Arabidopsis thaliana: one gene and its partner. The protein of the gene in region 2 interacts with the protein of the main gene of each other region in a biochemical or structural test. Each region holds a gene or a part of one and is shown on either strand. Other genes may lie near its edges.

Region 1 (10,463 bases), on a different chromosome or scaffold from region 2:
ATCGAGTGCTCCAAGAAAAACAATGCATCGAGAAGAAATACAACTTGAGCCTGAAAAATAAGCTTACGAAAGAAAAAGATAATAGCCTAGCATCATGAGAAGTAAATTTCCATGTTTGGTCTATAAATGCAAAGATGAAAAAGAAAAAAGGAAAAAGGGAGAACAAATGTCACAAGGAGAGACCCGAGATGATAGCCGAATAAAAGCGAAGTCAGAGAAGCAACGAGCACGTGAGGCAGAGATCGCTTCCAGGAAGGATTCCCGCAGTCTTTTCCCGTCCCAGTAGGAAGACGTACTGGAGTTGAGAAAAGTCAAGAGTCAGTCTATGCAGAAGAAGTTTCAAGATATTGAGGCAACAAGAAAAAAGTGGTATATCTAGGTACAATGCTATGTCTAAAACACAAACAAGCAATATAGAGTTGATGAGCAAATACAATAAAAAGATCAGAAGTGGTCTTTAAAATATATAACACTGTCCGTGTGCACCAAAAAGTAGGCAATAGAGTAAAATCATGACTATTATGAGGGTGGGTACAAAAAACCTGCAGTTTCAGCTTTATCCAAAGCAGAGAGAAACTCTTTAGAAGGAACACGCTTGTCTATGTGACGACCTCGCATAATGGTGTAAGTGCGTCGAACAGAATCCATCCCCTCTGGAAACACGCTCCTGCACATTCAAACAAGTTGAGTGCTGACTGATGCAAGGCCATAGAAGAAAAGCATACGAATAATGGGATTCTTCAACATGGATGGATGCTCAAAGACGTCAAAGTCGCAATTTATTAAATAATCAATCCATTAAAGGAAAGCTTCATTCAAGTGCTACTTGTTAGTGTGTGTGAAGTCCAGCGATCACTTACACATAATCAAAACCAGCCTTGCGAGTCAATTTAAAATTCAAAGCACACACATGACGTAACGTGACGTGAGCTACTAGGAAAATTCCAGAATCAACAATATATTTATTTTAAAAATAAAAAGAGATAAAAGAAGAAACAAAAAAGCTGACGACAGATGATGAGAAAGTGAGATCGTCGGATCTGACGGAAGCAATGTAAATCAGAAATATAAGATTTGGATTAAAAAAGGCAATGGCAGATCTACAAGGAAGCAAGGAAGGAAGGAGGGATGCAAACAAAGAGAACAAGGATGATGATAGTACCAACCTGGAGAGGAAATATGATAACGTCGAGAGGAATCGTCGAATAGAAGAAACTTTTACAGAGGAGCGACGACAACTTTATGGCTACACCTACACTCACTCCGTTCACAGGGGATGGGTTTTAATCACCTGCTCTCGCCTCTACCGTTCTTTTCATGGAACTCAGCAAACTATACTCTAGTACCAATGAAATAATGACATTTATATATGAATTCAGTAATGCTGTATGTACAAGAGTACAAGACTTTTGATGAAAGGATCCCTCCCCTGCTTTATGACTATTGATTGATGCTGAAACCAGCCTACAACTATTCATTACAGGAGAAGCCATTGCAGAGCTATTTTGGGCCTTTGGGCTTTTATTAACATTTACAAGAGGGCCGGAGGCCTTTTTGTTCTTTATTTTCTTTATCTATCATTTCTGTGATTTTGATATCTCATTCGGGTCCATTCGAGTCACACAGTTTTCCTATATGGATGGATTGCTACATCAACGAATCCCATTATTAATGGGTCTCTCCACCGTTTTTCTACTACACAGACAATACATGTTACATACGTAGATAAGTCACACAGACAAAAGTTTATTCTCGTCTCCAAAATAATAATTTACGATCGAATTCACTGTAAGAAAAATCTTCTTTCGAGCAGCAAAAGTTTGTTTTAAAAAGCCTCAAGTTCAACCAACACCTGAGAGACAAAACGACAAATGAATATAGTGGGCTTAGGTTGGTAGCTTATAGAGCTATACAATATTGGGGAAACAAGGATTAGGTGGTCCTACTCGTGAGCCTGAGCTTGCCAACACCATCTTCCCTTGCCCCTCATTGGATCTGCAAACCCAAAATTGCACAAACCCATTAGCCTGAGTTTGTCAACACTTTGACTCCACTTGTGTCTGTTTGCCTTACCTTGTTCACCAGCATGTTCACTTGCTCCCTGTACATCTCCTTCAAGTCCACTATATCCGCTCGAAGTTCCTCCAACTACCACCCAAACCCACTTTTTTATTAACTCAATGCCAACTACTGTTGTTAATGCTGGATACACTACTATTTTATTCACATATCTTACCTCCTCATCTCGTTCACCCATCAATTCCAGAGCAGCCGCGTGTCTTTGCCTTAGTGCTTCCAGCTCTGCCTTTATGCCCGGGACCCTATCTGCCTCCCCCCGTAGCTTCTCACACTACATCCACAGTTACCAGATATAGACGAAATATCATCATAACACTGAGCATAATATCAACTCTAAACTCTCAGCGCTATACATACCTCTGCTGTCATTTTGACTAGTTCTTCAGCCAGGGAATCTCGGATAGACTCCATTGATGCCTGTCCAAAGGCAAATAGACTCTTACAGTTAGATTCTACAGATAACGATGATACTAACAACCAGCCTATACTACCTCGACGAGTAGAGCTAAACCTTCTAAACCAGCTTATAAAAGAAGGCTAACCACGGTGTGCAACTAACCAATAATTTCTCAACATGATCCAAACACCCATAGTGTCCCATTGTAAGGACTGATGTCAACCTCAATCCCATTACTAAGCCAATTGCCAAAAGCCTACCAACAGAGTTACACAAAAATGTCCCAGTTGGATATTTTCTACACCTACCAAGCGGGTCATGTATGAAGCAAGTTCACCCTCTTTCTGTCGAAGTGTGGCTTCATAAGCACTCGGTGTGATGCTCTTCATGTAGTACGGACTCATAGTTGCCTCAGGCATGCTTCGCTTCTCAGAAAATTTATCTGAAGAATCAAGAGAAGCTTGCAGAAAATAGCTCTCCTCCATGCTTCCAAGGCTGCTTGCGCTTGATAGCTTTCTAGGCAAGCTTCCTGATGCAATAGTTAATGAATTACAGATGTGCAATGCCTGACTTATTAAGCAGTAGTATAGATCTAGATGCATCACCATTCTCAAAGGCAGAATTTTGCCTTGCTATAGGAAGCTGTTCAGAGACTGCCGAGGAATTGATACGGGCCGTTCTTTCAAGATCCAAACGTGAAGCCTTCTCCCTCTCTAGGTCCTGAAAAAAATAGGCCATATTGAGAAACTACTTGGACAATAAAGAAGAGTAATAAACTGGAACAGTTCGGTTGTTAATAGAAGCTACTCAGGATGAAAAAGTTTGGGAAAGCACTACTTTGATTGAATTCGCTAGGTACTTCAGTCCTTTAAATTCCGTAACTGATGGGGCATTTTTCATGGGACTAACTCTTATTAGATTAAGTTATGTCCATAAAGCAATGTAGAACCTTTTGAATAAGCTCGTTGTGGAGTAGCACTTCCTGCAACTCTTGCTTATGTTTTCTCCGAAGTTCCCTTATCTCAACTTCAAGTTGGTTTGCTCGACCTTCTAGGGTATCTGCTTCCTCCTTAGCTGCCAGATACTCCTGTCTATTTTCTGCTGCTCTCTGCCTCTCTTTCTCAAGTGACTTGCTTAACTGGCCCTGTTCTGCTCTGAGACATGAAAGCTGGATAGGAGAACTGGGTAAGCTAAAATTTAGAGAAAGCTGCGAAAATTGATGAAGAACAGTGTCAAAAAGCATAGAAAACCTGGGCCTCTAGAACATTGATCCTTGATAATGTTTGAGAGAGGCGTTCATTCACAGAGCGCTCTCGTTCTTCAGCTGTTGCAGCTTTACTTTCTGCTTCCTGAATATTTCTAGAAAGTGAACAAAAAGATAGAGAAAACAAAAATAATTGGCTGAATATAGCATAGAGCAGTGTTGTTCATAACACCTGCAATCGAGAATTCAGAGTTCTTTCTACAGCAGCCCAAGCTTCTGCTGTTCTATATGAAGTTTCCTATCGCCAATCAGATAAGAGGCATGCAATGTTACAATTTAATTTAAGATTCTAATCTCAGGAGAAGTTCTTTCAGAAAAAACATATGGGTCAATTTTTTACCTGCATAGCCTCAATCTGTCTTAGGAGAGGCCTTGTAGACTCAGGAACCTGTGTGATTAATTCCTCACACCTTCGCTCACTAGCCTATAAGAGTGGTTGGTTTAGCAAACAGTAAACAGAACAAACTATTAGTAACTAGAATTATGGTTCAAACGTAACCAAAAGGCGATAACCAAAGAAAGAAATATGCATAGAGACAACGAAACATCTTGATTTGACCTGATAGCGTCTTTGAAGGTCCTCAATTTCTCCACGGAACATGTCTTCCCTATACACTGCCTGTAAAAATTAGAGCCCACCGACTAGGTGAGTATAAATAAAATGATGAGATCCCAGTAGTACTCTATCCCAAATTTGATCGAGGAAGACAAAACCTGTTGCTCCTTTTTGCTTAAGGTTTGCCTCAATTCTTCCAGCGCCTGGACTAGCATAGATTCCCGCTCTCCAGCCTCCTTTAGACGATTCTCTAACTCTGACCTCGCTTCATTGTTGGTACGCTCCTCAGCTAACGCTTGAGCTTCCTTTGCTGCAGCTAATGCGTTTGAGTAATAGTCTTTCTGAGAAGTAAGTTCAGCTTGATGTTTTTCTATGGTCTCTTGCAGCAGCTTTTCTGTAGCTGTCTTGTCCCTTTTAATGCTTTCGACCTTATTTTCTTCCGACTGGCAATTGAAAGGAAAAATTAATGAAGCTAAGAAGCTTAACAAACTTTGCAAATGCTTTAGTTATTTAGATATTAATCCTGCCTACAAGAAGACTGATTTTCAAACCAGCCTTTCACAAAAGCTTCTGGGAAATCAAGAAAACCCCTTCAGGCAGTTTCATCCTTAATGACGTGGTTAATGAAACAAAAAAAAAAAAATCAATTACCTGAAGCTTTGTGATCAGTCCTTTCTTTTCTTCTTCTGCCTCTCTAATCTAACCCTCGTACAAATAAGAATTGCCATGAGACTGTTGGTATTGATAAAAATGAAACACATAGCGTTGAATATATACCTGAGCCCTTAGCTTCCTGATCTGAGCTTCTTGAGCAGCCTGTTTCTTTGAAAGCTCTTCGCCTGAAATGATTAGCATTAATATCAAGAGCTCAAGCTGAGCAAGAAATGACGTCCTTTCATTTTTCAGGTGTTCGCTTTCAACACCATTTTTTTATAACGAGAAAAATACGATCCATAATTCAAGCATTCCAAAAGGCTGTCTTACCTTCAGCCATAACTTGATTTATTATTTCATCCTTTTCTTTCAAAAGGGCCGCAGCATCACTTTTCTTGTTCTGTTCTCTTCTAAGTGTATCCCGCTCTTTGGTGAGAGCATAAACCTACAAAGATAAGCACTGTGAAGGCATATATATATATAATGAAAAGAAGAGAATTGAAAGAGAAGAATGATAAAAGATATAATACCTTCCTCTCAAGAGTTGCAACTCTCTGATGGTATTCTTCTCGCAAAGACTCGACTTCAGCTTCGTTAGATTTCCTCTGTTCCAGAGCAGAGGTTATTAGAATGTAGATTCAAAATCATTCCAAATGAAAGGAAGATGGGCGGAAGACTGGGGAAAAAAGTAATCCTTCATCTAATATCCCATATTCCGCATACTCTATTGTACCTTCAAATCCTCAGTGACAGATTTTAGCTGCTCATTTTCATGCATCAACTTCGCAATCTCATCAGCCTTTGCCTGTAAACAAATCCCCAGAAAATTGGTATAGAAGCACCATATCCGTAGCAAAACCTTTCATGAGGATCTAAAGATGTACCTGAGCTTGCCTTGCAGCACCTTGCAGGGCATTTTCCAACATTTTTATTTCCTTTTTGGTCTTCTCTAATTCCAGAATAACATCAGCAGAGTCGGAAACATTTGTCGCAGAGCTTGAACGCTGGCTTTCATTTAACTCACTAGTATCCAGTCTTGAATCTATTTCACGAGAAACAAAATCCACAATTCTCTCCGAAATTTCATCTGACGACGATCTCTTTGGTATAGAAGACTCGTAAGGAGAACCATCAGACTCAAAAATTAAAGACGGATGAGCAACAGGGGACTCTATCCTATTTACATGATTGATATCTGGTGAAACTTCAAAATTTTTAGACGAGGTTCTCCCTTCCAGATTTTCACCCAGAATTTCTTGTTCATTTGTTGTCTCATCCATATAAGTAATCTTATGCTGTCCATCTAACACAGGGGAGTGAACAGTGTCTTTGTTTTCTACAGTAACCTCTTTTGCTTCAGAATCCTCAGGCTGTGATTCCTCAGCCTCTGACTTGGGTTGCTCGGGCTGTGAATCTTGAGAAGCTGTCATTTCCAGCTTTTCATTAGGTTGAAGACTAGTCTTGTAACCTGAGGATTCAGGAGTCTGAAGAGAATATTCAGAGGACTCTTCGAGAAGTATCTGCGATTGCGGTTCATCATCTTTGGGATCCAAAACAACAGTTTCTGTTACCTCAGGATTATCTGCTTGATCAGCTTCTCTTCTCACGTTTGTTTCTTTATTTGCTTCAACAGATACTGCTTGTTCAGTAGCTAGCTTAACCGATCCAGCTTCTTCTTCTTTTTGTTCAATTTGAGACGGATTTTCTGTACGCACAGAGTCTTCCAATGTATCAGGTTTCTCATCAGAGGTGTTACCCATGAAGGACATAACGGGATCAAAGAGGCTTTTGGTATCAACTGCAGGTGGCCACATACTTGAAGCTGCATCTAAAAAGAAAGAACAAAAGGATTTTTGTTGTGAAAGGTACAAGAAACTCAAGACAAACTAGAGAAGAAAATGATTTGTGCTACAGTTAGGTAAACACAGAATACCCCTGAAATCATAGCCAGAAAAAGCTGTCACCAAGTAAACGCAAAGATCCAAAACAAAGTGTTTTTTTCAAATTCAGAATAAAATGCAATGGGTAGAATCTGAAGCACACTAGCTAAGCTAGTTCTAAGAAAAATAAGACAGAATCCCATAACTTGCAAGATTGTATTATTGCAACAGCAGATTATTGATCTAAACATCCTACATAAAGAAGAAGAAGAAAAATGGCAGGTCCTATCAACAAATGCGCCTTGAGTAATCAAATCCTATATTCCCAGCTGACTAACAGCAGATTATTGGGAAGGATGATAATATTATGTGTATTGATTGGAAAAAAAGTGAGAAGAAGAGAACACCTTCAGCGGCAGAATCGGACTTGTCGTCGAAGCCAAGGGCGTTGTCGAAATTCTTTTCAATGTTTTTAACGCTCTCCTGGAATTTATTGACAGCGCCAGTGAGATCTGGGAATCCTCCCAGAGAAACTTTGCCACTGAACCAAGCCATCTCTACTTGAGAGATATATCTGGAAACTCGATCGACTTAAATCTCAGAAATCACCGGACCAGATCCATCTCCAGCCCTGTGGCTTCCAAGGAAAACAATCAACCAATCGAGTTTAGATCCCAATTACATCACTGAATCAATTATTAAGACGAGGCGATTGGATAAAGCAGAATAGAGCTATCTATTGGGATCATCAATGGCTTACGAGAAGGAGATGCGTCGTCCTTGCCGTCGTGATCGAATTCCGGAGGAGAGAGACCCACCCCTATGTGTTTTATGTTTTTTTAGATCCAACAAAATCCAAATCCTTTTTTTTCCCTCGGCCACCGGCGGTACAAACGGCGTCGTTTCGCGGATTAGAAAAACGTTCTGTCTTGATATCATTTACTTCATTCTAAGCGGCTTTGGTCTGAATTTTTTATATACAAGGCCTGTCTCCGTTTTTGTAAAGGGAAAACAGTAGGATCCATTTTAGCCTCTGTAAGTAACAATATTGGGCCCCTAAAAGCCCACCCATTTTGGGGCCAGCAAACCAAGGCACCCTCGGTTCCGCACGCTCGCTAAGACGCTAACCTATGCATATGTTGATATGTTTTTTCTCTTCCTTTTGGTATGAATCTTGATTTGTTTTGATACTCATGATGTACATTCGTATTCTCTTACGTATTGTAAACCATCCTATTTCAGATCACGATTATATCTTTACATTTACATTTTTCATTTTTATTTCTGTTTGAATGTTACAATTTACTAGTAGAGTTATTCATTAAAATACTACAACTGGTATACAGAAATGTAATTTGAGTGATAAATTATATGAAATAATTAAGTAATATATGTGATATTTATGGATCCAAACAAAAACTAATTACTGGTTCATTTTCTATTTTAGATGTAAGCAAAATGTGTAAGATTCAAGGTATATATATATCCCAATATACGTATATATGTGGTACTCACTAGCTAGTAGCTCTCTCACAACTGTGTCTTTTGGTTTTCATCAGCTGATCCTCTCCAACTAACTATCCATCTTTTGTTTTGCGGTTGGACTTGGAGGTACCAAGAATATTAGCAACGTACGACTCGTATGGTATCATTTCCTTTGTACAAAAAGTGAATATCAAAATGCATTGTATTAATTATATATAAGTTAGTATATGGAGTTAGTTGTCCTCACTGTCTTTATCTGGCGCAATCTCCTATGCCATCATTCCCTCTTCACACGTACGTGTGCACACTCGATGTCACATTTGTATAAACACGTTTGCTTTTAGCGTGAGATCATCACCATATTCCATTTTTGGTGGGTCAGTTCTCTTTCTAGATAGTTATTTGTAAGGACGTGAATTAAAAGGGATCGTCGTCACTTGTTGAGATAAAAGAAAAGATATATGGTCAGTTTCTGCATCTTGGAATCAACTTAAGGGTTGTCTTAATTAATTTTGATAGACCCTACTTTAAAAATTAATTAGTTGCTTTCATTGGCCCTCAATAAGAAAAGCCAAAAAAGAAAGAAGACTGGTCTTGGAAGTTTGCCAACACGGGTAATAGATTAATGGTGAAAAGGGCGAATTTTTTTACCCAAAACCCTAATTAAGTAGAAGTATTAATCGAGAGCAAAAAAGAGAGAGAGAGTCAGTAGCCAAAAGGAATGAATGGAAGAAAGAAAAAGGAATCTCTATAGGCAGCATATATTCAAGTAATTAATTAAAGTAGATAGATAGAGCAAAAGGAGAGGTTAGGAGGCATTAATTAATTATTTAAGAGCATGTGGTGAATGTAAATGTTTATGGTTGCTTCCCTCTCTATACATTATGTATCTACCTTTCCTAACTAACAATTCCCTAGGCCGTACGACGACTAACAAAGAAAAAAACAAAAGAAACTGATAAAGCTTTTGAATTGTAGATAAATCATCTGCTACAGTTATACCATTATATATCTTATTAAAGACCTAAGTTTCCTTCACTATACGTCTTCGTCCATTTACGTACGTATTATACGGACGGTTTAAGCTACTATATCTATATTGTTAACAATGTAACTGTTGAGATATATCTTGCAATAATATGTCATGGTGTATGCATACGATAATATGAATCAATGTTTGAAATCTTGACGTGCCCGTGATACAATAAGATGATCAAAATTTCAAATTTTGTCAAATATTAAAACAACATACACATACACATGTGTCCAGGTGGCATTATAAAATGTATATATGGTGGATATAGAGAGAGAGGGAGATGCGTATAGTGAATAGGAAAGTAAGTAATAAAGAGAGGGTGGAGGAATTGGAAAGGGGTTGGAGGCAAACCCATAAAGAGCATTCATTTCCTTTTAAGGTCGCTGAAATTAATGAGTAACGATCGGTCAATGCCTCTCGCTGACCTTTTTCTTTTTTTACAACAACAAATAAAAATAAAATAAATTTCGACGTCTCTTTCCGCTGCTGAATTACATTTGTTGAATTAATTTTCTCTGCTTACGTACGTCTTCTAAACTTTCTCTATCCGAATTCTTTTTTAACTTTCTAACTTATATTCAACAACTCTTCTTTCCTGCCTTTACCGTTAGTCTAATTGTTTTCCTAATACTGCTACGTACATACCCCTACTATACTAGTCAGTGTATTAGATTCGATTGGGATTAATCCAGGAATATAGATATCCCATTAGTTTTTATAAAAATATTGGAAGAGGACAAGTCTCAAGCAATTTAGGGTTCCATGTAGCGCTGCAATATACTGTTAGTAACTCTCTCTTACCCATATATTGTATATGCTAATTCTTATCAAATATATATATATGCTTCTCCCAGAGTCCCAGTTTCCTATAATCCTGACGCAATTATACTAATAGAGCCAAGTTTACATAATAAAGTATATATGATTAATAGATAGGGTTTCTTATTAAGCCATATCTTAAATTAAGATGTGATGATAGCGTTTTGTATAAGTTACCAATTGTTTGAAAGAAGAGATCATCACAATAATAAATCATAAGTAGTAGTATATAGTAATAAATAAATACACAAGTCATAATAAGAGTAATGAGAGGATAATTAAGGAGGGAAGAA
Region 2 (7,432 bases):
TGATTGATTCACTCAGTTGTTCTCTAGTCTCCTCCTCCTAATAGCTCTCGATGTCTAACGCCGACGAACCACCGCAGAAAACCAACCAACCACCGTCGTCTTCATTGACGCCGCCGTCATTGTTCTCACTCCCGGTGGACATCGTATTGAACATCTTAGCCTTGGTACCAAAACGATATTACCCAATCCTCTGTTGCGTCTCCAAGTCCTTGCGGAGTCTAATTCGCTCGCCGGAGATTCACAAGACGCGATCTTTACACGGAAAGGACTCTCTTTATCTATGCTTCTCGACCAGAACTACATACCCGAACCGGAACCGGACGACTTTTCACTGGTTCACTCTCCGGAGGAATGATAACAAGATGAATACGACTGAGAATGTCTTCGTCTCCATCGATGTTCCTTATCGTCCCGGGCATGCTTCTTACCCTCTTTCCAATATCGCAATTGATACAGAGATTTACTGCATTCCCGGATATAATTTTCCCTCATCATCAATCGTATGGATCTTTGACACCCAATCTGGACAGTGGCGTCAAGGACCTAGTATGCAAGTGGAGCGATTATCAGCTACCGTAGGACTAGTCGGTGGTAAGATCTATGTGATCGGAGGCAACAGAGGCGAAGAGATCCTAGCGGAAGTATTTGACTTAAAGACACAAACTTGGGAAGCAGCGCCGATTCCTAAGGCAAAGGATAGAAACGAATGGTTCACGCATGCAAGTGTTTCACTTGATAGGAAGGTTTATGCTTTAAATTCGAGGGAATACATGAATTCTTACGATACTAGAGATGGTTCTTATCAAAGATATACGATACCTGAAGATAATTGGTGGAAGACAGGAAAATGCGTGATTGACAATGTGCTCTTCGTTTACTTCCTTAGATTTGGGTTAATGTGGTATGACTCTGAGCTGATGTTGTGGAGAGTGGTTTATGGTTTAGATCTTGACAAAGCTCGATGCATTGGGATCGGGGAATACTACGGAAAGTTGGCGTTTATATGGGGAAAACCAAGTAATGTTAGTGAAAGCAAAGAGATTTGGTGTAGAATGATTGGCTTGCTTAGGAGTGAAGTAGGAATTCATGGAACTGAAGAACCGTCTCAACTTCTCAGAATCGTTCCTAACAACTATAGTTTGCGCCATTGTCTGTCTCTTTCGGGTTAAACTTAATCAAGAGATATATTGTTGACGTTAGATGTTTATTTAGTCTTTCTTTAGTCATTATGATCAATATCACTACAATGTGTTTACAAGATTCATTGCTGTTGCGGTTTCAGCATCTTGCTTTGTTCCTTCCACCCTATCCATTTTGCATAATTAGCTTAGCAAGTTTTTAATATTGTAAGTTCACCCATTTTGTCCCATTTACTAAAAAATCGATTCAAACGAAACCTGAAATGTATCTCCTAATTAAAACATCTAACTTGTGGATAGAGATATTGGTGTATTTTGGTACAAATGCTGTAGTTGAGATGAAGCAGAAAACTTGTCCAAATGAAAACTACTGTCTGTATTCGATCCAAAAGATGGCTGACAAACAATTCTAGTTAATAGCACGTTATGATGTAATGTAGTATATAAGATCCAATTTCTTGGTCTTGCATATGTATCCAAGAGAGACGATCAGTTTTTTAAAACAAGTATGTTTTTCAAAGATTCGTCTTCAATGTATGATCAAGACCATGCTAAGAATCAAGTGTATTATATACAAATCGTATTAAAGTATTAACTCAAGAAAAAGTGTCAACTTTCACAAGATTCAAGCAAAAAGGTTTTCTTTTTAAGAAACTGGAACCGTTAAAAGAGTCAATAACAATGCTCTCCAAATAAAAGTGATTTTTTTGCAAATCCCATTATGGCATTATCAAAGAGAGAAGAACCTCATACAAGAAAAAGGAAGGAGAAACCATGAGAGAGCACACAGCGATTAGCTAGACATTGGATGATTGTAAACGTATTCAATGGCGAGAGAGCAAGAATCGATCTTGTCAGCTTCTTTGTCTGGAATTTCCAGCTTGAATTCCTCTTCAATAGCCATCACTATCTCCACTGTGTCCAAACTATCTAATCCCAAATCGTTTTGGAAATGAACCTCAGGAGTCACCTGTCGATATTTATCACAAAGCCATCAACAAAAATAACCCTAACCAAACAACCCTTATTAGAGAGAGTTGATGAAGGATTCATAAATGCAAAATCCATAAGAATGACCATATCAAATCAAATCCATAGGAACAACAACACGATAAGCTACACTTACTAAACCACATTGAGATCAATAACCTTCAATTTACTAACAACACTAATGCAACATCGTTTCAGATACATTTGGTCTCTATTTCCACTAGATCAATACGAAATCAACCAAAAGCTCCTACATTGACAAATATTCAAGGCAAAATAATCATTTTGTTCCCAATAATGAGGAAAACAAAAGATAAGAATCACGATTTGGCCAAATTTTATGAAGATCGAGCTGACCTTAGAGGGATCGACTTTGGGGAAGCTCTTGACAACATCGAGTACTCTATCGACGACAGCTTCTCTGCTAAGATGATCATCGTGCGAAGAAAATGACCGGATCGTACCAAGGAACCCAATTTTAGACTGATTCAATCCTAGGGTTTGCACCGGAACCCTCAGGTGACGAAGAATTGCATTTCTCAGTGCCATTTTCGTCTCTTTCTTCGAGCTCGAGAATTAGGGATTTGATTTGATGAGAGAGACACAGAAGAGTCAAGTAGCCAAAAGGGGCAAAAATAGTTCAGGTCATACGAGATGACACGTGCCCCCTACTATAAGGCTAGCCCAAATCCTTACGTGGGCTTATAAATGCTGCCCATAATGTAGTAAATTCCTTAATCAGCTTCTAAGTTTTTATATATTTTGTAACTTATCTCAAATAGTTTCTAATTTAACATAAATGACCCAATTGGGTCACTCGAGGAATAAACTGCAATTTACGAATAACAAACTCTCACTAATACAGTATTTGCAATTCCAGAGCGACGGGATCTCTCTCCGGTAAATATCGGAAACTTTTATTCTCAGCAAAGCGAGATCTCGACGTTTCTCAGATCCGTCCGGCGAGTTAGATCCTTGAGAAATCATGGCTCCGGTCTCGGCACTCGCTAAGTATAAGCTGGTGTTTCTGGGAGATCAATCCGTCGGCAAAACCAGTATCATTACTCGATTCATGTACGACAAATTCGACAACACTTACCAGGTAAATTTCCATTGTTCAAATCTAGGTATTATCTCGACGATGCACGACGTTTGCTTCTATTTTGAGGGATTATAGTCGGGAAAATCCCAGGGTTTGATTGATTTTGAGATCCGTTTTCATGGACGGGAATCGTGTTTTTCAGTTCGAAGTTCTTACTCGTTTACGTGATCGGGCGTTTGGTTTTGCGTAATTATGTGTGATCTGATTTGTAGATCGTGTTTTAGTCAATGTATAGGACGTAACAATCAGCTGAATGAGATTTTGGCATCGTAATCGCTCACTCTCGTTTATTGTACAAAGTCGAGAATTCAGTCCAATAGAAGATCGCAGTAACACTAATATGAGGATGTTTCTTTGATCATGTTATCATTGTTTATCTAATCGAATTAGTTCTCAATTGATGAATGAAAGCATCTGATCTTGTTCTGTGATTATGAGAATTACGTTTAAGCTCCTAATAATATGTGAACCATGCTTGCTTATCGTCATTTTACAGAATGTTCTTCCTTTTCTAAGTAGTTTTTATGTTGTTTCATAATCATCAGGCCACAATTGGTATTGATTTTCTATCAAAGACAATGTACCTTGAAGATCGAACGGTCAGACTTCAGTTGTGGTAAGATCTTGAGCCTCTTTCAATTTTCGAATACTGAAGAATAACATTGCAGATCATTTTTTGATGATTAACATCGAGAGCCGAAATCATATGACAGGGATACAGCTGGGCAAGAGCGATTCAGGAGTCTAATTCCGAGCTATATCAGGGATTCCTCCGTTGCTGTTATTGTGTATGATGTTGCAAGTATGTGTACCTTCACTCGTTCTCTCAAACACATGAATATTTTCCCATATCTGAGATCTTGGGGATGTGGTTTTCAGTAATCTTATGAATTTATGCGTTTCGATTTCTTCTTTATGTTGATCCATTGTGCGTTGTGAAACTCGAGATTTATTTTGTTTTCCACTGACATATAGGCAGGCAGTCCTTCCTAAACACTACTAAGTGGATCGATGAGGTTAGGACAGAACGTGGTAGTGATGTCATAGTCGTGCTTGTGGGAAACAAAACTGATCTAGTGGACAAAAGGTAATAATGATCTACCATCTCTTCCTCTACTTGTTTCTTGTTAAACCATGATGTGCAAATTACTGTTCAATAGCAATTGAGACTGAAATTTGGTAGTCCTCCTTGTTTAAACACGCTCTGATTTCGTAAGTATGTTGACAAGACGAATGGGTGTCTTTTTTGTTTTACTCAAGTACAAACTGTTGTTAAACCACGTCTTACTTTTCTGGTGGTATTGAGTATGTTGCCAAACGACCCTACAAGATAATAAATGGAAAATCATTTGCTGCTCAACTGCATATCTTTACAGGGTTTCTTTATAGTCAACACGCTTTGACACTTGATGGTGCCTACTACATTTGTTACTGCCAATTGGGCCTTTGTATTAAATATTTTGTTTCTCAGGCAAGTGTCAATAGAGGAAGCAGAAGCTAAGGCACGCGAACTTAATGTAATGTTCATCGAAACCAGTGCCAAAGCGGGCTTCAACATTAAGGTAACAAAGATCTTGGCTTGACACATTTCTGAGGGTTTCTTGCACAACAAAAACTTGCTGCTTAGTTCAACTAAGCCCTAACTTTGTTTAGTTCCATCAATATTCAATAGTTAATTAACCTAGACTTATAAATTTTTAACCCAACCTGCTGATTATTACATCCTCCTCATTTGTATGGATCTTTCACTGATACTCTCTAAACAATTACCGCAAATCCATAACGCTATCACTCCGTGCAAATCTTGTTTTCTTATGATTTCAAACCTTTTTGTATTGCTAGGCGCTCTTCCGCAAGATAGCAGCAGCTTTGCCGGGAATGGAGACATTGTCTTCAACAAAGCAAGAGGATATGGTTGATGTCAATCTCAAGTCTTCCAATGCAAATGCATCTCTCGCTCAGCAGCAATCAGGAGGATGCTCTTGTTAGATTTGGCAACAACAACACAACAACAAATCGATAGAGAACAACAAAACACACTACTAAAAAATGTCCTCAAGCCCCTTTGCATGATTCGATCAGTTATCGTCTTCCATCTGTAAAATTTTTGCCTGTTTTTCAACTTTTTTTCTTCATCGGATTGTTTTTAAAGAAGACTCTGTTTTAGCTATGGTTTGTCCCTAACTGTGATCTTTTGTGGTCTTTGGAGTTTCAAATGCTCGCTGCTTCAGTACTTTTGTTTACTTATTTCTCAAAACTGTGATTTGTCGGTCTATGAATTTAATTATGTATAACTGTGAGCTGCTAGGTAATAAAAACTCTCATTTCGTTTCGTCTTTCCATGTGATAGTCTGATAGAGAAAGAAGCACAGCATTTTTAATCTTTGACCCATAAAGAAACAGATAATTAATTTCGTACACATGTCGTTAGTTCAGATCACTTAAATGAGCTAATTAAATTCAAAGTCTCACACTGTTCCCAGGTATTTTTCTCCAGTTCCACCATGTCCCTAAAATTAAGCTTCTCTCATCGTAAAAAGCTCTGGTGGGTTAATGCAGTTGGAGTATACTCAGCAATTCTATCCCAAATAATGTGTATACTCACTTAATCAGCAATAATCACTCGTAACGATTTTATGGAACTAAGTTAGTGGAATGAGTTTTTTTGTAATTACTTATTATGAATTTATGACATATCCTTTTGAAAAAGAAAAAAAAAAACAGAAACTTGTACGATTGTTTTTCTTTCATTGCAGCTGAAAAGTATTGTCATATTTTTGAATAGTCCAACCAAGCTATTTGAAAATTTTAATGACACTATATTTCATAATTATATTGTCATCAATCAAATCCTCATACATAGTACCAACTAATAGCTAAAAATTACATAACACTTGTGCTTTATTTGAATTTTCCCACTAACTCATCAAACGCATAATTCGCAATAATGACCATAATTAAAGATAGACCCCTTCAAAAAAAAAAAAAAAAGAATGAGTAAGTTGAAATCAATGAAGATGTAGGTGAGAGGAGATGGTAGAGCCACGAAAGAAACACTATTTCAATTCTCCCCTCTCCAACAAAAGCCCCCATTCATTAAATGCCAACTTCCCTTTTATGACCGTTAATGCTCTCTGTAAGATGACAAATTACAAATAAGTCCTCAGAGTCATACTAGTCTAATTTTCGTTATATTTATAATACTCTTTCACGACTATGGACCCATGGAATTTAAATCTTAAATTGGTCCTACTTCCGTATATTTGTATTAAACTCTTAGTCTTTACTCTTTTTAAACCTTTGAAACTCTCTTAGACGGTACTTGGATCTTCATAAAAGTCGTCTATCTTTCGTCGAAATTGAGACCTATGTTATTAGATCTATATGCCCACTTTTTCTCTAGCTTTCTTTATTAGGTTTTTCATGTGTCTGGTTAGTAAGTGAGACTAGTAAATTGGATTTGTGAATGGTTCTTTTTGACTTTGCCAATGTCTAAGACTTAAGTGTTGTCAGATTTTGTTTCTCTAGATTAAGAGAAACACAAGGGTATGTGTCACATTTATTATCACCAACAAAGCATTGATTTTTTTTTTTTTAGATTTGAAAACTTCAAAAATAATAGCAATGTATTACAATTCTGACATGAACTAGTCATAGGTTTACTTCTTCTACTATCTGTCATTTTTTGATGTGTACACCCAAAAATTCTCATAAGAAAAAAAGAGATACACATTAGACTATCCAAAGAAAAAGAAAACACACGACATTGTTCTCTTCTAATCTCCTAAATATAAAAACGAATATTTCTTCCTTTAATATACAATCACAAAACATTATAATATACTGTAATGAATAACCAAAAAAAAAGTAAATTCACTCTTTATCTGTTGGTATAGTAAAGCCACACCATATGAATCTTGTGAAGGGTATTTTAGGTAATTTCACAAAGAACGGTCAGATTTTGACCTCAACCAAAAAAATCAACGGCGGTGATCAACTCTACCTAAATCCACAAGCTTCTTAGACCGGTTACCGCAAAAAGACGCCGCCGTTGATAGGTGAGGCTTCGCCGGAGATTTCAATTCACCGGAATATCCAAAATCCGGCGGAAATTTCGCTTTCCAGTTAGAAGAACAGTTAGGTTTAGCTCTCACTAATGGACTTAAGCAAAAAGCCATCCCTGATACACTTCTACCAATCC

What was found. Proteins that work in one complex are often made in the same cells at the same time.
Region 1: the proteins of RAB6A (region 2) and GC5 form a complex in vitro, tested with the Arabidopsis thaliana proteins (one study listed by BioGRID).

Annotation. Positions count from the first base shown.
Region 1 is NC_003070.9:30,026,124-30,036,586, forward strand, and holds GC5 (golgin Putative 5), read right to left. Parts: upstream 7,779-10,463; 5' UTR 7,591-7,778; intron 7,468-7,590; 5' UTR 7,386-7,467; coding exon 7,238-7,385; intron 6,779-7,237; coding exon 5,835-6,778; intron 5,756-5,834; coding exon 5,684-5,755; intron 5,556-5,683; coding exon 5,481-5,555; intron 5,396-5,480; coding exon 5,281-5,395; intron 5,136-5,280; coding exon 5,074-5,135; intron 4,996-5,073; coding exon 4,948-4,995; intron 4,740-4,947; coding exon 4,455-4,739; intron 4,360-4,454; coding exon 4,240-4,359; intron 4,165-4,239; coding exon 4,081-4,164; intron 3,979-4,080; coding exon 3,913-3,978; intron 3,826-3,912; coding exon 3,727-3,825; intron 3,645-3,726; coding exon 3,426-3,644; intron 3,197-3,425; coding exon 3,082-3,196; intron 3,006-3,081; coding exon 2,785-3,005; intron 2,497-2,784; coding exon 2,437-2,496; intron 2,351-2,436; coding exon 2,237-2,350; intron 2,149-2,236; coding exon 2,074-2,148; coding exon of another isoform or gene 2,023-2,073; and 6 more. Other genes in the region: SGB1 (Major facilitator superfamily protein), read right to left, coding at 184-295, 543-648. UniProt on the Arabidopsis thaliana protein: Golgi matrix protein playing a role in tethering of vesicles to Golgi membranes and in maintaining the overall structure of the Golgi apparatus.
Region 2 is NC_003071.7:18,409,566-18,416,997, reverse strand, and holds RAB6A (Ras-related small GTP-binding family protein), read left to right. Parts: upstream 1-2,844; 5' UTR 2,845-3,114; coding exon 3,115-3,231; intron 3,232-3,776; coding exon 3,777-3,847; intron 3,848-3,944; coding exon 3,945-4,033; intron 4,034-4,206; coding exon 4,207-4,318; intron 4,319-4,702; coding exon 4,703-4,793; intron 4,794-5,073; coding exon 5,074-5,220; 3' UTR 5,221-5,574; downstream 5,575-7,432. Other genes in the region: AT2G44630 (Galactose oxidase/kelch repeat superfamily protein), read left to right, coding at 51-1,169; MTACP-1 (mitochondrial acyl carrier protein 1), read right to left, coding at 1,933-2,109, 2,487-2,678; AT2G44600 (uncharacterized protein), read right to left, coding at 7,212-7,432. UniProt on the Arabidopsis thaliana protein: Protein transport. Regulator of membrane traffic from the Golgi apparatus towards the endoplasmic reticulum (ER). Binds GTP and GDP and possesses intrinsic GTPase activity.